Caenorhabditis elegans: one gene and its partners. The protein of the gene in region 2 purifies or fractionates together with the protein of the main gene of each other region. This does not show direct contact. Each region holds a gene or a part of one and is shown on either strand. Other genes may lie near its edges. The genes, in order: npp-9, prde-1, tofu-4 and tofu-5.

The links.
Region 1: the proteins of prde-1 (region 2) and npp-9 purify together in Caenorhabditis elegans (affinity purification with mass spectrometry, with the first as the bait; one study listed by BioGRID). This does not show direct contact.
Region 3: the proteins of prde-1 (region 2) and tofu-4 purify together in Caenorhabditis elegans (affinity purification with mass spectrometry, with the first as the bait; one study listed by BioGRID). This does not show direct contact.
Region 4: the proteins of prde-1 (region 2) and tofu-5 fractionate together in Caenorhabditis elegans (co-fractionation; one study listed by BioGRID). This does not show direct contact.

The regions. Positions count from the first base shown.
Region 1 is NC_003281.10:3,399,507-3,406,324, forward strand, and holds npp-9 (Nuclear Pore complex Protein), read right to left. Parts: upstream 4,771-6,818; 5' UTR 4,758-4,770; coding exon 4,740-4,757; intron 4,691-4,739; coding exon 4,598-4,690; intron 4,553-4,597; coding exon 4,127-4,552; intron 4,074-4,126; coding exon 3,576-4,073; intron 3,472-3,575; coding exon 3,011-3,471; intron 2,962-3,010; coding exon 2,064-2,961; intron 1,804-2,063; coding exon 1,660-1,803; intron 1,602-1,659; coding exon 1,485-1,601; 3' UTR 1,138-1,484; downstream 1-1,137. Other genes in the region: Protein clpf-1, read left to right, coding at 1-36, 634-900, 962-1,072; F59A2.5 (L antigen family member 3), read left to right, coding at 5,373-5,455, 5,567-5,695, 5,744-5,903; golg-4 (GRIP domain-containing protein), read left to right, coding at 6,070-6,183, 6,228-6,329.
Region 2 is NC_003283.11:15,536,224-15,541,930, reverse strand, and holds the start of prde-1 (piRNA biogenesis factor prde-1), read right to left. Parts: upstream 3,688-5,707; 5' UTR 3,674-3,687; coding exon 3,494-3,673; intron 3,424-3,493; coding exon 3,058-3,423; intron 2,065-3,057; coding exon 1,724-2,064; intron 611-1,723; coding exon 487-610; intron 437-486; coding exon 320-436; intron 1-319. Other genes in the region: F21A3.4 (Trichohyalin-like), read right to left, coding at 3,945-4,229, 4,282-4,434, 4,930-5,160, 5,215-5,265. UniProt on the Caenorhabditis elegans protein: Nuclear factor required for the production of piwi-interacting RNA (piRNA) precursors. Specifically required for piRNAs produced from loci associated with the Ruby motif. Promotes binding of the transcription factor snpc-4 at piRNA genomic clusters.
Region 3 is NC_003279.8:4,823,997-4,828,634, forward strand, and holds tofu-4 (Twenty One u-rna (21U-RNA) biogenesis Fouled Up), read right to left. Parts: upstream 2,644-4,638; 5' UTR 2,638-2,643; coding exon 2,338-2,637; intron 2,293-2,337; coding exon 2,119-2,292; intron 2,071-2,118; coding exon 1,963-2,070; intron 1,919-1,962; coding exon 1,686-1,918; intron 1,642-1,685; coding exon 1,525-1,641; intron 1,480-1,524; coding exon 1,173-1,479; 3' UTR 908-1,172; downstream 1-907. Other genes in the region: F57C9.6 (G-protein coupled receptors family 1 profile domain-containing protein), read left to right, coding at 1-27, 731-815; htp-3 (HORMA domain-containing protein), read left to right, coding at 3,083-3,139, 3,190-3,343, 3,393-3,496, 3,541-3,653, 3,699-3,850, 3,900-3,993, 4,041-4,225, 4,270-4,634.
Region 4 is NC_003279.8:7,066,642-7,071,165, reverse strand, and holds tofu-5 (Twenty One u-rna (21U-RNA) biogenesis Fouled Up), read right to left. Parts: upstream 1,727-4,524; 5' UTR 1,725-1,726; coding exon 1,623-1,724; intron 1,575-1,622; coding exon 1,420-1,574; intron 1,371-1,419; coding exon 1,145-1,370; intron 1,098-1,144; coding exon 920-1,097; intron 855-919; coding exon 580-854; 3' UTR 501-579; downstream 1-500. Other genes in the region: W01A8.6 (Peptidase M14 domain-containing protein), read left to right, coding at 5-179, 232-410; nuo-6 (NADH dehydrogenase [ubiquinone] 1 beta subcomplex subunit 4), read left to right, coding at 1,991-2,090, 2,165-2,234, 2,582-2,930; cutl-6 (ZP domain-containing protein), read right to left, coding at 3,267-3,482, 3,553-3,642, 3,693-4,080, 4,468-4,524.

The DNA of each region.
Region 1 (6,818 bases), on a different chromosome or scaffold from region 2:
ATTCGTTCGAAAATGCGCGGAGAAAACGTTCATCGGGTAGGTTTTGTCCTCAAAATTCGAAAAATAAAGTTTTTCCAAAAAAATCTTTGATTTGCACTAGAGACATCGACAAAAATCAGCTTTTCAGAGCTGAAATATTCGAAAAATGAATATAAATTGAAGGGGCGGAGCTTATTTGCAAGCCTGGAACGGTTTTTCCGCAGCCCTGCCGCACGTGCTAAAAGGCTCCGCTCTATGAAATTTTTTGCAGTTTTTGAGTGATTTTGACAAGTTTTCTGTATTTTTTGTCTATTTTCTATTGGAAAACATTTGATTTAATCGGAAAAATATATATATTTGAATTTTTGAGCTGAAAAATTAATTTTCTTCACGAAAATATTGTCCCTGGGCCTTTCAGGCATTTTTTTTCTAAAAATAAAACATTTCCAAAGAATTCTGTATTTTATGGTCTAGAAATTCGAGTAAAACTGGCTTTAGAGCTTAAATATTCGAAAAATTATTATTTGAGGGGGCGGGACTTATTTGTCTGACACGGTTTTTCCGCAACCCTACCGCACTTGCGGGTTTTTTCTTTTTTTTGGTTTTTCAGTGTTTTAAAGCCTAACTTGTTAAGAAAAAACTTTTTTTTTGCAGTATTTCTACGGAACCCGTGCCAACAATCTCTACCCATTCACATTTGACGTCAGCTTCGATGACGTCACTCTTTGTAAAATCGGAGCCGAGCAACTGCCCGATTCATGTCTACCATTCGGAATGGAAGTTGAAAATCATGAGACAAAGCTGGTTATCATGGAGCCCAGTGCCGACATTAAACATCATTTGTTCGCGTTCTCGCGGAGCACGAAAGCCGACGAAAATGTGCTGAAATCGCCGGTTTTTGGATTTTGTCTTGTCACGGAGGTTGGTATTTCGTCGAGTTTTTGGGTCTCGAACGGAAATTTCAATTTTATCCAAATTTCAGGTTGATTTGGAGAAGCGAACAATGTCAATTCTCTGCCCACAGCGTACAATTCCATCGAAAGTTCTCGTCTTCTCAGATATCACCCATCTTGATGATCAAATAAAACGATAATTTATTTCTTTTTTTTCCTAATCCCTATTTATTTGTTTCCCGCCCTCAAAATAAATCTCATTCTTCAATGCATTCACAATTTATTGGATTGTCACCAGTGGGGAAAAATCGATGCCGGGACAATGTGAACAATATAGTTAAGTTTTAAAGACAAAAATTATGAATGATAGTGTGTGGGGGGTACTTATGAGAACAATGGGATTTTGAGAGAGATGGGGGGGAAATAAGGAAATTATTTTTTTAAAAACCTTACCAGACAAATATAAACTACACTTAAAGGACTATAGATGACAGCAGATGGGGATGAATAAAACTAGGTTCATAAATAAAATTGGTGGTGGGGAATACTAACACAGAGTGCTGGGTGGGGAGGAATAACAATAATAAAATAATTTAAATAATCAGCAGAGGATTACATCTTCGATTGAGCATCCTGAACAGCCGTCTTGAATGCTCCGGCGGTCGCCTCGTCCTTGAATTTGGCGGTGAAGATGGCTGGATCAGCGTTGGAGGCGTCTTCTGAGAAGTCCTGAAAAATAAGGAATTTATAGTACATTTTTATATAAAAAGAAATTAAAAATTGCTACCTGGCACATAAATGTGAGCACATTTGGCAAGTTTGGCTTCGGACTGAGCTTCATCGACTTTTCGATACGGAAATTGGCACAGAGCTTATGGACTTGCTCACGACGCATCACGATTCGATATTTGTTGTCATTGCTTTTCAGGAGCTGAAATAATAAATTATTTTTCTCAAATTTAGCCTCTATGAGTCAAAAATCAGTTGTTTTCTTAATAGTTTTCATTAAAATTTAGTGAAAAAACATAGAAAATACTTGCAAAACAGTTGAAAAGTGCGCAAAACTAGCACTTTTCTTAACTGTTTCAACTGAAATAAGTTATTTTCTACGTTTTATCACTAAATTTTAATGAAAACTATCAAAAGAACATGCCAAGCTGGCTCATTTTGATATAAAATCCTAAATCTGACCTTAATATCTCCGAGTCCACGTTCCTTATTCTCCTTGAGATCCGAATAGTACTTATAAAGCTTGCATCTGGCGGAGAACATGACCTCCTCGTCCTCTTCACCAGTTTTCACCTCAACCAAATCCGGAAGAGGAATAACTGGCTTAAACTCGACTTCTGGCTCATACTCCCCATCTCCATCCTCATTCGTCTCATCACCATCGTGTGAAGTTGCAGAAGTCGTGTTCAACGTGGTGTTCTTGCTCCCGAAAATGCTTGCCTTCTTCTGAGCAGCAAGTTCTTCTTGGGCCTTCTTGACATTTGCTGCGTCGAAAATGGAGCCAGATTTGGCAGAGTTGGCTGAAAGGGCAGCGAATGTTGCACCTCCAGACGTGAATCCACTACCGAACACGGATTTTGGCGTCTCGGACTGTTTATTTTCTTCTTGTTTAGCTGGTGCAGTCGTTGATGGAGTCTGTTGCTTTCCGAATGAGAAAGTTGGCTTTGGGAAGGCACTTTCAGAATTCTTGGCGAACATAAACGACGGAGTAGTAGTTGAAGAAGCTGTAGATTCAGTCTTGGAGAGTCCACCTCCGAACAATGAATTTCCTGGAGTCGTAGAGGTTGCCGGAGAAGCAGTTGAAGCTGCAGGATTGTTGAAATTGAACGATGGGGTAGTTGCATTGACAGCGGCAGCTGGCTTGTTGAATGAGAAAGTTGGAGTATTAGCAGCACCTCCACCGAAAACGCTTGTTCCCTTTGGTGTTCCACCACCGAAAATGCTACTGCTAGTGCTTGGAGATCCGCTGAGTGATCCACCGAACTGAGATGTTTGAGCAAGAGGTTCCTTGGCTGGAGCAGATGCTCCGAATCCGAATGTCACTTTTGGAGTTCCTGGGGCAGGCTGGAGGATCGAAGGTCTGCAAATTTAAATTTTTAATTTTAAGATAACTCAAATAGAATATTTACTTAGAGAATATATTTTTCTCTTTGACAGATCCGTCTTTCGATGTCCCACAACAGGCACATTCAATCTCGTCAGCTTTGCAAGTAACATAGCATCCAGGGCATTCCCAAGATCCTGGTTTTGGCTTGAACTGATCTCCAAATCCAGTCTCTTCCGGTTTGTTGTTTGATGGAATCACAACTTCTTGCTTGACTTCCTTCTTCACCTCAGCCGCCGGCTTGATTTCCTTGTCGATGGTCTTTCCAGCGTTGCTCGATGATTTTGCCTCAGCGACAGCCTTCTCGAACAAAGTCTTAAACTCTCCAGCGATATCGACGTTAGCGAAACGAGCGGAAAGCTTCACGTGAGCTGGCTGATCTTCGGAAAAGTCCTCGCAGAACCATGTGTAGGCCTTCTCGTTGGATTTCATTTGTTGAATGGTCATCGAGCCGAGAATTGGGAAATTGGCACAGACTTTGAGAACCTGTAATTTATTTTAATGCTAAATTAAGGTATTTAAATTTAAATTAAGATCTTTCTGTTGAGGAAAACGCCGAAAAATGTGAAAAAAGCTGTAATTGGAATAACCTGAATATTCCAACACAATTCTTCGGTTCCATTCTCAATATTTGAAGGGAGTGTCTCCTCCGAAATGGTCACCTGGTCTCGTCGCATAACAACTCTCCACGACTTCTTGTCCTTGTTGTAGAGAACCTTCAGCTCGCCGGTTCCTCGCTCCTTCCATTCCTTCGTCTCGTTGGCATAAATGTAGAGTTTTGAACGATTGCAGAACATGGTTTGCTCTCCTTCTTCTCCAGTTTTCACCTCGACAAGATCTGGCAGTGGAATGACTGGCTTGAACTCGCCCTCTGGCTCGTAATCCTCATCATGTTCTTCGTCTTCATCATCTTTAGCTGCTGGAACCACGACTGGGGAAGCAGTTTCAGGCTTTTTACCGAAGATTGAAGTAGCTGGATTGGTCCCGCCGAATGAGAATCCGGTGGTGGCTGGCTTTGGAACAACTGCAGGCGTTGGAGTAGAGAATGTTGGCTTAGCAGGTGGAATTACAACTTCTGGTGGAGATGTCTGAAAAATATTGAATTTTTAATTGCTGGAACTAAAACCCGAAAATTTGTTACCTTTGGTGCAATAACTCCAGAAGCTGGAACTGTCGATTTTGCTTGTGCTGTAGTGGCGACCAGTGGCTGTGTAACGGGAATAGCTGGCTTCGCAGCATTGAGCAAATTAGCCATAACTTGGCTTTGGGCCTGTGCTTGGGCTTGAGCTTGAGCGTGAGCATGAGCTTGAGCTTGTGCTGCCTGCACATGAGCCATCTCCATTTGTCGCTGAAGAATCAACATTTGCTGTTGTTGCTGAAGCTGCTGTGGAGGAATCATTGAGCCGAGAGGATTCGCATCACGAGCAAGAAGAGTGTGTATAATTTGATGAAGTCTCTCGAGCTCTTTTCCGTGATTAGTGCTCAAATCGGACAACTGCTTCTGAAACCGATCCTCGGATCGACGAATATCATCGCGAAGCTGGGTGACGCCGGTCTGGTGCTCAATCTGTGAAAAATAAGTATTAAATTGAGTTTTTCATGAATCGCATACCTTCAACGAGTCCATGCTTTTGATAAGCGAGTCAAACTGCATTGTCATCAACTGCTGCACATCCACGACGCTGGCGACAATGCGCCCCATATTCTGAAATACCGTGAATCATGTTGAGCAACATTCGAAAAGATTCACTTACCGGCTTCTGATCGCTCATTGCGAAAGGAGAGCTGAAATATGAAAAATATCAGGTAAACAATTCAAGAGACTTCAAGCTAAAGCGAGATAAAAAGACGAATACTGCGGTCTCTTTAGTTGAAAATTAGCAGCAATACTTCAAAGAATTCGCGCCAGGGATTTGAATTTCGAAATTTCGCGCCAACGCTTTCCCTGCTTAAAATAGGGCTTTCCTACCTTTAAAACTAGTCTTTTCTGTATAAAATATGCTTTTAAACGCACAAAAAATGTTTTCCAGCTATTTTTCGTAAAAATACGGAAAAACTATGGCGAAACAGTCTAAAATAAATAGAAATTGGGCGCCAAGCTTCGCAAATTTCGAAAAAAGTTCAAATTCCTGCGCCGTGGCGAGACCCGTTGCGTAAATCGACACGCGCGCCTTTAACCATGAGTTGGCAATTATTCATGGAAAATACCGGTTTTTCAGGCGAAAAACAGGATTTTTGATATTTTCCGTCGTTTTTTATGGCTTTTTCGGTTTTTGAAATGTCAATTTTGCCTGGAATAGCATTTATTATTCACTTTTCTCAGCGAATTTATTGATTTTTCATCAGAAACTTTCAAAATTGTGTTTTTTAGTGATTACAACAACAAAATGGAAGTAGACACAAGCTCATCGTCATCTTCAGAGGACGAATGTGACCCAAGCTCTCCGAGCACGGCATATATCCACTCAGCGTGAGTTTTTCGCTAAAAAACACAAAAAACAAACTGTTTTTTAAATGTTTTTGTTTCAAAATTAACATTTTCTGAAGTTCTAACAGCAGTTTCTAATCCGATTAATTCCAGAAGCGTACGATTATCCGTCGGAACAGAAGAAGCGGCTCGAACCGTGGCAGATGTCATAAAAATCGATAAAGAGCCGAGAAGAAGTGGTGCTCGACGGGAAGTGTGCAGCGAAGGCGAATTTGTAGTCATGTAATAGTTTTTCTATTCGAATAACTAAATAAATAAGTTAATTTTCAGAAAAATCGAATCAAAAGATCCGAAATCATTGTCAAAATCCATTGCCAACGCTGTTGATATGATCGATTTGTCCGTGAAAACTATCAAACTTTGTGAAAATCTGGGAAAATCGAAGGAAAACGGATTGAAAAGAAAACTCTCAAACGGATCTCAGGCTTAATTTGATTAAAATTTGTTATTTTTTCTGTTTTTGTTTTTTGAAATGAATTTTTTTCAACTTTTCATGATTTTTTCTTCTTAAAAATATGGTTTTTAACCTTTAAAATACTTTTTTTTTCGATTTTATTGCAAATTCCCCACTAAAAAATCGATTTTTTCAGGTTTAAATGTTCAAAAACCTGAAAAACCGGCTGGATAATGAAGCCGGAAAGCTTAAACAATCAGCTCAGCAGTATGGAGAACAACTCGCCGCTCAAGTTGGACAATATCGGCAGGCGATGGTAAAAATCCACTGAAAACTGAGAAAAAATCGATAAAATTGCAGAATGAGCAGCCTGCTGGCAGTGATGCATCCGCGTCGATTTCTAAAAGATTCACCGGAGAATCAGGAGAAACTAAAGCTGAAAATCCAGCAAATACCTCTATTGTGAGAGTTTTAACATGAAAAATTCTCGAAAAATTGAATTTATCGTCGAAAAACTATTATTTTCCAACCATTTTCGTGAAAATTTCCGGAAAAATGGATTTTTACTGTTGAAAAACAATTTCTTGTGAGATTTAGTTCGGAATCCAAAAAATGTACCAAAAACAGCAGAAATATGCGAAACAAAGAGATTTTTAAATAAAAATCTATTTCCAGCAGCTGTGAGACCGTTAAAATGTACGAATTTTAAGGTTTTATTAAAATTTTTCGCCATTTTTTCGAAGTTTTGCATCAATTTAATTGCAAAAAAAATATATTTTTTCCGCATCTAAATCACATTTTTGTATGTTTTCCATGTTTTTTACAAGAAAACTCAAAAAATACCAAAAAATATTTTTTTTTTCATTGGGAAAAACCATTAAAAATCAGAGATTTCGTTGAAAATGGTCACATTTTTACGAAAATGATCGAAAATGACTTTTTTTGTCGAAA
Region 2 (5,707 bases):
TCAAATATTTCACTAAAAAGTAAATTTTCCAACAAAAAAAAAATTTATTTTTCCGATGACAAATAATTTTTTTTTCATAAAAAATTCAATTTTTTTTACAAAAAGTTCAATTTTATATGAAAAACTCAATTTTTCATGAATAATTGGACATTTTCACGGAAAGTTTTTTTTCTCAATTTTTCAACAAAAAAAATTACATTTTTGTGAAAAATTCAATTTTAAACGAAAAAAAACTATTTTTTTCTCTCAAAAAATCCATTTTTGGCAATTCTCGCTAATTTGGCCAATTTTCCGCAAAAAATTGAATCCCAAATCGTACCGTATTCTCCAGTTTCCGGTCCCAATCGAGCATTACATCCCGCCAATGAAGAGCCCAAGCCGGTCGTCCGCTGCACACAATTTTGTAGAAATCGTCAATGATTCCACGATAATTCACCTGAAAAATACGAAATTTTAGCTCAAAAATTCCAGAAAATATCGATTTACAGTCGAAATTTGTGCTCCAGCACGTGGACCCTTTGGACACCATGCTCCACCACGAACCGGCAGTTTTTCAAGCTTTTCTTGCTCTTCTTTTGCCACTTTCAGATGTTTTGCAAAGTTTCGGAGTCTGAAAATTGACATTTTTACCGTTAAAAAAAAACTGCTAAAATGGAAAATGCTGCAGGAAAATTCAATTTTTCGGAAAAATTGCTTAAAATCTAAATATTTCAGGTAATCATTTACTATATATAAAGCGCTTATTCCGTTTGTCCATAGTTTGTAGTCTATGTAGTCTTTGTATTCTGTGACGTTTTGGCTTCTGGAGGATAGTGAGTTGGGCTTAGTGTAGGGATATAGTCGGGGTACTGTAGTGGTACAATAGTGGTACGGTAGGAGTACTGTATGATTACGGTAGTTTCAGAAAAATTAGTTTTCAGCCCCAGAAGTCGGGGGCTGCGCCGAAGGTGCGGTCCACGGCTGGTTTACAATAAATTTTTATTTTTTTAAGTGAAAAATTGCTTTTAAAAAAAGTGATTTTTTATGTAAATTGCAAGAAAAATATTTTTTAGAAGAACAAATGCTGAAAATCTGGATTTTTGGGTGAATTTCTAAAAAAATTGATTTTTCGTGAAAAAAAAAAGGGTGAATTAGTTTTTTTCCATAAAAAAATGCTGAAAATTGAAACCTTTCGGGTTATTTTGAAGAAAATTGTATTCTTTTTTTGTGAAAAATCGCTGAAAATCGGGGTTTTTTGGGTGAATTTTCATAAAAATTAGATTTTTTTTCGATGAAAAATAGCTGAAAATCGGGGCTTTTCGGGATAATTTCAGGAAAATATTTTATTTTTTGAGTGAAAAAAATTAGAAGACGATTTTTTATAAAAATTGCAAGAAAAATGATTTTTAGTATTTAGGAAAAATGCTAAAATTCTGGATTTTTGGGATAATTATTTGTTTTGTGTTTAGGTGAAAATTGCTATCAATCGAGATTTTTTGTGTAAATTGCAAGAAATCTACTTTTTTCTACTTTTTTTGGTGAAAAATCACTGAAAATTTGAATTTTTTGAATAATTAGCAAGAAAATGATTTTTTAAATGAAAAATAGCTAAAAATCGTGATTTTTTAAAAATGTAATTAGCAAAAATCATTCTTAAAGGAAGAAAAATCACTGAAAATCCCGATTTTTTGGATGAATTTCCATGAAAATCTCATTTTTTTGCTAAATTTTCCAAAATCCATACGCGATATCGAACCAAACATCAACATCAATTTGCTGCTCGACTTTATTCGTTTCTTCCGGCTCTTTTTGCAAATTTTCAATGAACAATTCCTTCATTTCCATAATTCTTTCTCTGGATTTCGACGATTTCCACGGCAATTTTCCATGTGTCCAATCGTAGAGCACATAGAGCATCATTTCCATCATATCCAATTCAGTCATTCGATGAGATTGATCTCGATCGACAAAAGAGCGCGGCGCGTAGATCAAATCTCCGGTTTTCCAATGCAAATCTATAGATTCGGCTGTTCTGAGATGAATCTCGTCGATGGCACGGTGACGTTTGTCAGAGGAGACGGTGATCTGCAAATTTTTGGAATTTTAGTATGAGAAAAATCGATTTTTAACGAGAATCTGGGGTTTTAAATGCATAAATTGTTTATTTTAAGAGTCTGAAACCGAAATTTCTTCCAAGAAATCAAAAATTTGATTAATAAAAAAATAAAATCGAAAAAATAAACTCGAATTTCGACTGAAAATTGCGATTTTTAGTTTTTTTCAGTAGAAATTGTTTTTTTTTGACGAAGTATATGTTTTTAATAATTTTTCTAAAGAAACTCGCTGTTTTGCGGAGTTTTTGAAACCAACAATGTTGATTTTCAGACGATTCTGGGACTTTTATTCATTTTTCCCAAAAATTTCAAATTTTTATGGGGTTATTCAAGTAATGTAGCAAAATGTATTTAAATACATTTGTGACGTCACAAATGTATTTAAATACATGTTTTTATCTACTTGAATAAGGTTGTGACGTAATTTTTCTACACTTTTTAATTTTCCGACACTACTTGAATAACCCCATTAGGTAAAAATTGCTGGAAATTGAGATTTTTCGGGCAAATTTCAAGAAAAATAACTGAAAATTGGTTTTTTGTGGATTTACCGAGAAAATACGTTTTTTATGTGAAAACATTGCTAAAAATCACAGATTTTTGTATAATACGAAGAAAATACGCTTTTTCGGTGAAAATTGCTGAAAATTTAGATTTTTCGGGCGAATTTCAGGAAAATTACTGAAAATCGGGGTTTCTTGTTGTATAAATCCAAAAAATTAAGTTTTTTATGTGAAAACATTGCTAAAAATCGGCGATTTTTGTACAATTCCAAGAAAATACGCTTTTCAGGTGAAAAAATGCTGGAAATCGAGATTTTTTAGGTGAATTTTTAAGAAAATTGGTTTTTTCGTGTAATTCCGAAAAAATGCGTTTTCTAGGTGAAAAGTTGCTGAAAATCGCGATTTTTCTTGCAATTTTTTAGTGGAAATTGTTATTTTAAAAGCGGAAACATAGTCCGTACATCAGTAGCATCGGCCAAATAAAACTGCCTCGTTTTGATATCCAACATCCATTGTTTCGAGTCGAAATTTCTCAAAACCCATCCGGAAGCTGACAGAATTTCGATAGCAGAAATCATGTCGACAGCGAGGAAACTGGCAGTAGTTACGGACATTTTATCACTGCTCAGACATTTTAAAAGATCATGTAAAGTGGGTCCTGCACGGATTCTGACGACCATGAAGAAGACGTGATTATTTATGATTCCGGCATCAATTAAAGCGGAAAATCGATGAGAATAGCCAAGTGACGATTGCTGATGATAGAAATCTACTTGATTCGCGATGGTTGTCACGTTGTCCTCGCCGATTTCCAAGTAAAGAATCCCCTGAAAATTCGAATAATAATTTTTTTTTTACTTTTTTTTTTTTTAAATTTAATTTTTTTTAATAACTCACAAATTTCTTGCACGGCTTGTCACACACAAGATAACAATACGCGGCTCCTCGTTTCTCCTTTTTCTCCAAAATAATCCATTTACCATTAAAAAGCTTTTGCTCCTTCAGACCTGCCAAGTCCTCATCGGTGAATCGATGCTCAATGTTTTCTAAATCGTGTCCTTTGCGATTTCTGTTCATTTTTTACCTGAAAAGTTGATAAACTCACAAGAAAAATGGTGAAAAACAAGTAAATTTAGGCAGGAAAAACGAAAATTTAAATATTTAAATTTAAAATTCGCTGCCATCGAGAAAAGCGCAAGCAACACGAGAAACGCGCTAGCAGTGGTAGCTGACGCAACTTTCGTTATTGACGATTAATTTCAAAAACATGTTTTAAAACAATTAAAAATGATTTATTTTGAGGAAAAAACACACAAAAAAAATGCTTTTGAAGAAAAAAACATAAAAATTAAGAGCTTTCCTCGGTCAAACTGGAGAAAGAAGCCACCAAATTGGCGTTTTCATCTAAAATCTGCCGTTTCTTCCCAGTTTTCTTCAACAACATTTCAAGCTCTTCCAGCATCTTCTTCTGCTCCTGCTCCATTCGTTTCTCCTCTTCAACACGTTCGCCAAGCGATTTGCGTTGCTCTTTGAGCATTTCCACAACTTTTTCGATTTCAGCGCTTTTATCATTCCAATATTCGCATTTCTCCTCCTCTCTGTCACAATCCAGCTTCAAATCTTTGAGTTGTTGCTGAAAATGTTTCAATATTGCTTTAAACATTTTCAGATTTATTAATAAAAACCTTGTGCAAGTGGCGACGATAGTCGATTTCCTCCCGCATTCTCTGAACAATCACTCGCTTTTCCGCGAGTAAATCCAGACTTTCTTGAATTTCAGCAGAAAGTGTCGCGGATATTTCCATCGTTGTGCCCATCTTAGCCTTTTTCAGCTTCACCTGAACAAAAAATTGCATATAATATTAGTTTTCGCCATATCTTACGCGCATGGTCTCGTCACGCGGACAAAAGGTTACTTTTCATTGTGATAATTCACGGGTCGCTATTACAAAAACACTAAATGCTGAGAATGCGTATTATGCAACATATCTGACGGGCAAAGTATCTCGTAGCGAAAACTACAGTAATTCTTTAAATGACTACTGTAGCACGGATGTCGATTTACGGGCTTTTTTTTATTTTCGGAAACATTTCTCGGAAAATTCGGAAGTTTTTTTTGATTTTCAGAATCGGACCAGCGCTACAGTAGTCATTTAACGAATTACTGTAGTTTTCGCTACGGGATATTTTGCGCGTCAGATACGTTGCGCAATACCCATTCTCAAAATTTAGTGGTTCTTTTTATAGGTTAGTGCCCGTAAATCGACACGAGTTACAGTACCTCGTTCACAGCGTGGTGAGACCCACATAATTTTTTGACGACTATGTAATACCTCATTCATCATCTCCGACAAATGCTGAGCCCAGGCGGTGACGCGACACGAGATGTCCGATTCGCGACGTCTCGCCTTATCCACGCGATCCCAAAGTTCGGTGACCTGCGACTGAACGACATCGATCCGATTGCTCAGTTGCAGCTTCTTCTCCATTTCCAGCTCGAGCTTGTGCTCCAGAAGGCGACAACATTCGTCGACATCGTGCTCGTATTCGGCGACCGATTCGCTCTGAAAAAAAATCACTTGAACTTTTTCCGAATAGAAATTTCGCGCGGAACCCACCGTAATCGACGTTGTCAGGGTCAACTTCTCGCGAATCACTTTGATATCCATTTATCGATTGATTTTTCGGAGAAAAATATTCGGAAATAAATTCAAATGTCGAATAGGTTCCACATTTGCCACGAGAAATTTGAATTCTATGGAATATTTTAAAATCAAAATTTTGAATGTTCACGCTGGTAATTAATTGATTTAATAAAAGTATAAAACTTGATTTTCAAGCTCTCTGATCCGTGTACTCCCCGAGGAGAAGTTTTTTTTTGGAAAAATTCTGGCTCTGCTCCTATGAGTCATGCCTCTCATCCGAAAAAAATTCGACAAAATAAACCGACATTAGTACCACGTCATTGACTTCGTTCTTGAGTTGGCTCATTTTAAGGAGCATTTGAAAGAAATCGTCCTCAATTTTGGGGCGATGTGTGGCCGCGACAAGGGATAACTCGGCCACGTGCATTTTTTCGAATTTCAAATTCCCAAGATGTTCAAATTCTCA
Region 3 (4,638 bases), on a different chromosome or scaffold from region 2:
GCGGGAATTTAGAAATATTCTGAAAAGGTATCGTAATTTCACAAGATTTTGACATGCCTACTTGAAGGCGCACGGATTAATTCAAATGGGTCTCGGCGCGCAAAAGTTTATGGTAGGCTTTTTGCGGCTCTTTTAATTTTTAACAGAAAAATGACAAAATTCGCTATATATGTAATAATTTCATCGAAAATGCAAGGAAGACAGCGGCGAAAATTTAAAAAAAACCACCATAAACTTTTGCGGGTCGAGACCCATCTGAAGAAACATATGCGCCTTTAAGAAGGCATGTGAATAAATACACGACATGTCGCGACATAACGAGAACACAAAATTCTGAGAATGCGTATTGCGCAAAATATCTCGTAGCAAAAACTACAGTAATTCTCTAAATTATTACTGTAGTGCTTGTGTCGATTTATGGGCTCGAATTTCGAAATGAATTTCTGTTCGAATTGTGACAGCGATTTCAACTTTCTTTACAATTAGTTTTTTCGTATCATTAGTTTTTTTGATTTTTTGCTCAATTTCAATATCTATAAATAATTTATTTCAAAACTCGGGCCCGTAAATCGGCACAATCACTACAGTAGTCATTTAAAGAATTACTGTAGTTTTCGCGACGAGATATTTTGCGCTTCAAATATGTTGCGCGTTTCTCAGAACTTTGTGTTTCCGTAATAACTAAAAATGCAATGAAACCACTGAAGAAGTTAAATCTTCAATTTTTCAGAACTATTTTCCCCTGCCTAACAAAAACCGATCCGATCTTGACAACGGATGTATTCAAGCGTCACAGTCAACCGACTGATATTTAATAACTTATTTCTTCCATCTCCATTAATGTTTTGTATCAAATTTTTCTGGTCGCTCCCAAGAATCTCATCGCTATTTTTCTATGAAACTTGATTTTCAAAATTTAAAAAAAGTTTTATTAAAAAAAAAAACATCTTACTAGAAAAGAAACAAAGAACGTATATAAAGTGTCGAACGATTGCGAAAAAGCTAAATATTACAGAAAATGTTTGGTCAAATACGGGAAAAAACGATAGATTATATTCTCACGATATAAATAAATTTGAGATTTGAGATTCTCAAACAACAGCTAGATGCTCTAAAATTTGAAACAAACAGAGAATAATTAAAACAATAATGTGACTCGGATAAAAATTCTTTTAGAATTCTGCGTCTACCATCAGATAGTCGAAGTCTTCTTCCTCCTTTATGGTTCCCTCGTCGCATTGACTAGTCAGGTCAGGAAGGCTGTACTGATCAATAGTCGACGGCTGCTCCGATGTACTTTCCACGTTTGTGTAGTCGATTGGAACATCTACATGTCCGAGCGATTTCTGCTTAATCCTTTCGCGAATTTCCTTCATCAGTTTGGAGTCTCTTTCCTGCTTTTTTGAATTTGCGACATTATTCAGGAACTTGATGGAAGACTCGTGAGCATTGAATGTGGATTGGAAGAAGACGAGATGGCTGAAAAATATTCTTAATCAATATATATGGTTTTAAAATACTCACGTAAATGGTTCCTGCCATAATAATTCGTCCGGATATTTGATGTCGTTCTTGTCAATAAATCCTGAATGTTGATTTTGAATTGAAGATCGACTGTATCCATGAACGGACTTTGGAGCACTGAAAACATAATATTTATTCATGATATTTCTCTTAACAATTACTTGTAGCTCGCGATCTTCTCCGAAAAAGGGTTCATATTTAGTTCGACGGCCTGTGCCACTTGCTCTTTAGAGTTTCTTGTTTGGTAGAAAGAAAATGAATGCGAAATAATATCCGCTTCATCCTCATCGGAATTGATTTCGTCTCTTTTTGTTGATCTGATTCCGATACCCATCCTTCTCATTGCTTTCCAATCGACTTCAGGATCGTCTTGTTTGATGTCACTTGTCAAAGACTGAAAAATTATTGCAAATATTTAAATTATAAATTCTTACACACCTTCAGAGTCAATCCTTGCTCAGCAAAAGTGTCACAGGTGTAATCATCTGCAAGTTCCAGGTCCGGTCTCTTGATGCGACGTCTTTTAGGGACTCCTTGAGGTCTGGTCTGCAAGAAATCATTTCTAAATTTCAACAACTAGCATTAAAATCCCACCATTTTTCTTCTATACAGTCGCCTTCTTCGTTGCTTCGGCATCGCTTGTGGTTCGTACTCACAAACCACGTCTTCAGTGTCTGAGACTTCCCCATCTAACGCTTTCTTTTTCTTTTTGAGAATCCTGTCGTTCTTCAACCCACGAGCAATTTTCTGCTCTAATTCTCGGACAATCTTAAAGAAGTTAAATCGATAAAAATTTTTTAAAAGGCAGCATACGCGTTCATCCGGTCGCTCGCCTTCGGAACTTTCTGCAGCATCCACCATCGAACTCTTGTGAGTCTCCACAACGTATTCATCATCACTCTCCTCGTCGCTGCTGCTACTGTGATCATCGTCGTATTCATTTTCTGAAAAACTCTTGTTGTCAGTGCCATCTGCCGATGCGGGCGGTACTTCGATCTCCAACGGATCCTCTACAATTTCTGTTTCAGGAATTCGTGATTTCTTCTCGGGCTGGTTCACTCCCGAAGATTCCGCATTTGCTCTTTTTGATGCGCTTCTCGTCGTCGGTTTCATCTGAAATTAATGTCTCATTATTAAATATAGAAGCTTAAAAACACAATAAATGAATAAGTAAAAAACGTTTATTTAAATTTTAAGTGCTTTCATCTGTTCTTTGCACATTTCAAAGCGGTTTCTAGACTCAAAATACATAGAGATATGCTCAGATTTTAATAAACTACAATTTTAAAACTTCAAAATATGAGAAATTCTCTTGAAAGTGCATTTTAAGTAGAAAATGAACGGAAAAAAATTGAAATATAAAAGAAAAAACTTAAAGGTGCATGACATTTCTTCCATGGGTCTCGACACGAGAACACAACATGTTGACCTGAGTTACGGTAAACTTCGGTTGAAATTAGTTATTTTATGTCAAATTATTCATTTATTTTTCAGTTTTTTCTCATTTTCAATTAGTTTTTAATTAAAAAAAATGTTTTAAAATATTTTAAGTGTCAAAATGGACGAAAGCTTCGACTCTTCTGTTGTCCCTGGCTCTCTGACGAGTGATGACAGGGTGAGTAGATTTGACAGAGTTTTTTTTGTCGAGAAAACGAAAATTTTCAGGCTATATTCAACGAGCAAACATTGAAAAATGGTGATGAAAATTCGAAAAGCTCTCTTGAAGTGATGGCCAACTGCGTTTATCTTGCAAACTCAACAATTCTCCGTGAACGGAAAGTTATTCCTGCGGAATACTTCCAGGATTTTCAAGTTTATGGTGAGGTTTTATCTATCTGACTTGCAATTAAGCATGAATTATTTTATAGGAGATGTCAGCGGATATACTTTGCGACAAGACATTCCAGAAGGACGGAGTGTGTCTTCGAAGCTTTTGGCGTCTCATGACGCGATCCGTCAGAAACTCCTTCAGGTACAGTTTTACTCTCGTAAGTGGTAAAAATTCATTGTTTGCAGAAACTCGCTATTGTCGTTGAAGAGTCACTAAACACGAATCCCGTGGAAACGTTTGTCTGGACCTTTGTCTATGACTCAACCACATCTGCAAGTGCCGAAATCGGATACGGAGGGTTAGATCATTTATCTAAATATAAATTTCACTGACTCTTTTCCAGGCGTAAATCTAAATTTGTGGTGAATTATTTAAACATGGATGATACTGCTCAACAGTTTTGCAAGATGTTCAGCGAGCTTAGAAATGTTCTAAGCCTGCTCCGTCCGCTACCAAGAGGCCTCATTCCATCGATGAAAGTAGCATACAGAGGAGGTAAGGTTAAAAATATTTAATTTAAATCATAAATAAATTATTGTTTTAGAACCGGAATTCGTTCCCGGATTTCAACAAGTCGACGATTTTGTGAATCCTGAGCAGATCAATCTTGGTGCTGTTAGTTTTCCTCACGGCAATGGGTTTGTTCGTCATTTCAATCATCAAATTCTTAATTAAATTGATTCAGATTTCAATTCGCATATGCCTCGAAATTCATGGTTGAACAGCCTTCAGCCATTCGTCCACCAGTGGAAGTTTCTCATTTTGAAGATGATTTGCTCAACTCAACGATCACACCGATCGAAGTTGTTCGAGATAACACAATGAATTGTGCTGAGAATCCTGAACTTGACGAAATCTATTTTTCACCAGGTGCGTTTTGTCGAGAAAAAAAATTAATTTTCTAATGTTTATAGGTCGTCAAGAAGTACGTATGGACGAAGATGTGGCAAACGAATCAATTCGTTGTAATCCAAGTATGGCCAGTGAAATGATGGTTCTGCAGTCCGAATATAATGTATTGATTGCTGATAATGATGAAGTTCCAATGGTTGTTGAAAGGGAACGTTCTCCAATAGTGAAAGCTGCAAAGAAACGTTCAACGAGAGCTCCCGCTGTCCCGATAACTCCAACGGAACCGGCTTCTCCCGTGGAGTCCCCGGTGAAAGAGCAACCTCAAAAAGCGCCAAAAGCTCAGATGAGACGTTCCAGTAAACGCACCACGAAGAACAATGAACGATGCGAACAGAAAGAAGAAGAACCAATAGTGAACCCAAAAAGGGTAA
Region 4 (4,524 bases), on a different chromosome or scaffold from region 2:
TCAGGAAATTCTGGCAAACAGAGCAGCTGATCGCGTTTTCGCTTATCGGGAGACAAAATATCGAGTTGGAACTGCAGCAGATATGCTTGGAACAGCAACTGGAGGAGCAACTGATTGGATTAAAAAGAATACTCCGACAAAATATGTCTATGTACTGGAATTGCCACCTGATATGAAAAGTAAGAATTCGTTTAGATCTTCCATGAAAACTAGAATAACATTCAATTTCAGCTTGGTTCGCATTCCAAGTCAAACCACATTGGCTTATTCCAATTGGAAAAGAGACATGGCTTGGAATTGAAGTAATATTCGATCAGGTAGTTGAGGAAACCAAGAACTTTCAACCGACTGAACCAACTACAAACGGAACATCAGCAGACAGTAGATCTCCTCGATTCAGACAGCTATAACAAACAAATCAACACGTGTCTTTGGACGACGACGAACTTGTCAAGAAGCGGGTTTCTACCATTTTTGTCTTTGTTAGACTTGAAATCAATAAACTTAATAACAATGTATTAAATACCAGTGAAACGACCGGATGATATGACAGGATATAACAAAAAATTAATAAAAATTTCAATTGGACGATGTAGATGGCTGGTTGTCCTTCGTAAAGTTGATTAATTCGACTTCAGATGCAACTTCAGGGATCGCATGAAAACGGGTACGGAGTGGATCCACGAACAGTTGAACTGCCGCCATAACGTTCGGAGGATAGTCTTGCTCACAGAAGCGGTAATTGCCTTGTTGACATTCACTGAAAATACCGGCAAGAATAGATTTCTCAGTATCTGGAGTTGTCGTAGCTTCGGTTTCGATAGTGTCTAGTACTTTGGAGACAACTGCCGCTTCTGAAAATAAAACTGTAGCGCTGGTTAAGTTCCCTCAGAGTTAGAATTATTCTGGGTTTACTGACCAAGTTCATTGAGCGCTGGCATTTGCTCTTCCAATGTGGCACATGCTTTCATGAATCTGTAAATGACTGGCCATCTTATATTTTGAGAGTCAGTTCTTGTAGCTTTTGCGGTGAGAAGTTTGGTCACCACCGCATTTTCGTGAGTTTTAGATTCTAGAGCGAGATTCTCGAAGAGTGTCTGAAAATTTGAGCATTTTTCAATTGCTGACTAATAAAATATAAAACCTCATAAGTATCTCTAAGAGAAGGTAGGGTCTTGTTGATTGATCCATGATGATGATCGACTATTTTTCCCATGATACTGCTCCAGTCGTCATTTGGATCCACTTGGCAAAATGGTGGAGGAGTGATATTATGATGTCCTGCTTCGATCCATTTATTTTTGTAACACTCAGGGAGAATAATCTCTTTGTGTTCCTTGATAATCTCTCGAATCTCGTCAATTTTCGCCCTGAAAAAGAATAATGATTAAATGTTGAACATATATTTTAAAAACTTACTTTATCTCTTCGATAGATCGTTTTTTTACAATGTTTCGGTGAATATAGTTTATGGCTTCAATTTTGGTACCATACTTCATCACTCCATCCAATAAACTTCTCAAGTCGTCACTGGACCAATTGCCACCATTGAAGCTGCGACCTTCTGCGAGAATCTACAAAATTTTACATTTTTAAATAGTTTATTTTATTAGAAAACTGACTCTGTCCAGTGGTGATGGTTCTTCGGTTACAGTATGGTTTGCGACTTCAAAAGCCATAGAGCTACCGGGAATTTCATTTGTGGGATCGCCGTCGGTTTCCATGGCTAAAATTTGAGTTTTAAGTTAAGTTTAATGTGCGAAAAAAAATAATTATGGCCTCGATTTAGGAAAGAATTGAAGAAAATTGAATTGAGGAAAATTCCTTTCGCTTTGAAATGTGATGTAGATTTACGATAAACAAGGCGCTGTTGCGAAATATCGGAGTGTCGTTTGAACCAGTTGTTCAGAACTTTTTATTTTATTTTTCTTAATTTCCGTCTTGTTTTCCGATTTTGTTTATTAATATTTTAATTCCAGGTTGAACCAAAATGAAGTTGGCATTAAGACTTCTTCGACCAGCTGCCAACCAAAATATTAAATCTCCGAAACTGTGGCAGGATCCAGTGCTTGGATATTTTGAGACTCACGGTAAAACTTTTATTTTATCGATTTATTTTTCATAATTTACTGTTAACTTGTAAAATAATAATTGTTCTGTATAGGAAAGACCGAATTTCTGCCAGGACATGAATACAATCTGAGCGACGAGGAGAAGAAAGCAGTTTTGTGGAGGTAATACGAAAAACGCTTTTTGCTTAAAAGTTTTTAAAAAAATTCTAAAAACAGTGAGAAACATAGTTTTAATTATATTCTCAATTTAAAATTATTTAATTCTATTGAAAAATCAATATATGATAACATTTGCGTTGATGAACACTTATTTCAAGTGATTTATTAGCAATAGAGACAAAAAAAAACAGTTTCTTGATATAATTTACAGAGTATCAAATCAAAAATTGCTTTAAAAAAACTGTTGCGATAAAATTGGATATTAAACACTGAATTAACATAAATTCAGTTTTTAATATCCAACTTTATGATAAAAAAACTACATTTTATTTTTAAAAAATTACTTTCAGATATCGTGTCAAGGAGATTTTGAAGAAGGAATATCTCCGTCGTGAATACGATCCTCATAGCTTCAAGTACAAGGAGGGAGTCACCATGGATCCAGCAATGTTCCGTTGGTATTCTGCTGATATGACTCAAGCCGAGTTCTTCCGTTTCACACCACGCACCGTATTCCTGTACGTCGGAACCGTTTTCGCTCTCTTCTACATTTACACTCGTCTTATGTTTGTCCCAATGGACAAGTCGAATGAAGCATGTTTGGATGGAAAGCTTCTTTGGTGGGATCGTCAACAAGGAAGAACTCTACAAACCGGAGGATCCGGTCTCTTTGCTCCAACCATCGGAATCGACTTCTAATCGTCTCGATCTATCTGTTTTCTTAAATTTACTTTTAGATCCGAATGTAAGCAACTTTTTCTCGATTTTTGTTTTTTTTTAGCTGTGTCGTTATCCTCGTCAAATAAAATTCAGATTTTATTAATGTAAACACTCGTAAATTTATATAAAATAACATTGATGCCTGATGAATTAGATTCCGTAAAAATATGTGTGGAACAGACATCACAGAGAAAAAGAATGAGAAATTTGTGCCTGACTTTCGAGAGAGTTCAAGGGAATTTTTAAGAGAAAAATGGGAGCTGAAACCGTACAATCGGGACGTGTAATTTATAAAATAATATAATAATGTGAAAATCAATAATATCTGCCTGACTGCATTATATCGAGCTCTTTTTTGTGATTTTGTCTTCGAATCACTAGTGCTGTGGAGACAACTGTTAATGATACAATTGTGATAAGAATAAGGGGAAGAACTGGAAGAAGTAGTCGTGGAACACAGAATGGAGAAGGAGCAAGGAGCCCACGATCTGCTGGATCAAGTACAAGAAGTTCTGATGTTGCTACGTCGATCTAAATATTTTATTGTTTTCATGTTAGGAGGATTAAAAAAATATATAATCCGGAAACAATCTATGATTACCTCATAATCAGACCGATCAGCTTCTCTTTTTGTTCGATTTCCATCACCACTTGCTTCACTCAGCAATTTCTTGACTCCACAGTTTGGTGGCTGAAAATCAAAAATAAGTATTTGCTTCAACAATCTTCGAACTCTATTACCGTAACTTCCTGGCACATTCCCATTTGTTTCTGACACAATCTTATCTGACAAGTGAAATATAATTGATTTGAGTCTGCATATTTGAAAACTTGACTTGATGCATGAGCTCGCATAAGTGAAGCATCGTAAGACAGCTCACTGAGCAAGAATGGATCAGTTGCACAGCCATCAAAGTCAACAACAGCATGATCTTCTCCGTCTCCATCTGTTACAAAACACTTTTTGACAAGCATTCCCATATCAGCCGGTGTACATTCCCATACATGAAATACAATATCTCCGACATTGGCATATGTTAAAGTTGGACCATTTGGACCATCACGACGAACTGAATACTCGCATTTTGGCATTACCATACTGTCAGATAGTTCAGTCGTTGGGATCATACTGAAAATTAATTTTTTTGATTATTTTTTTAATTATTTGTGTTTGAAAATTCAAATATCATCAATGCTCCGAAATACGCAAAAAGTTCAATTTGGCAATTTGCAAGAACATAGACTTGAAAAAAAAATTTAAGAGTTTCCGATAATCTTATCTGGTGAGTTCAAAGATTTTTCACCCTCAAATACTAAACACTGAAAAGTATAGAATCTCAATGTAAAATTATTGAAATAAAATGTTAAAACTTCAGTATCTTTTTCTTAATACATATTACTGATTTAAAATTAAACTTGCAGTTCCTATCAGTGTTGCACTCAAAATGAAAAACTGAAAAATAATTATTGAACGCAATAGTTGAAATGAGGCATATTAAAATAAACGATTACCTACCTAACATCAATATTCTGAGTAACAATCTCATCTGGTTCCATATAGAAACATTTAACA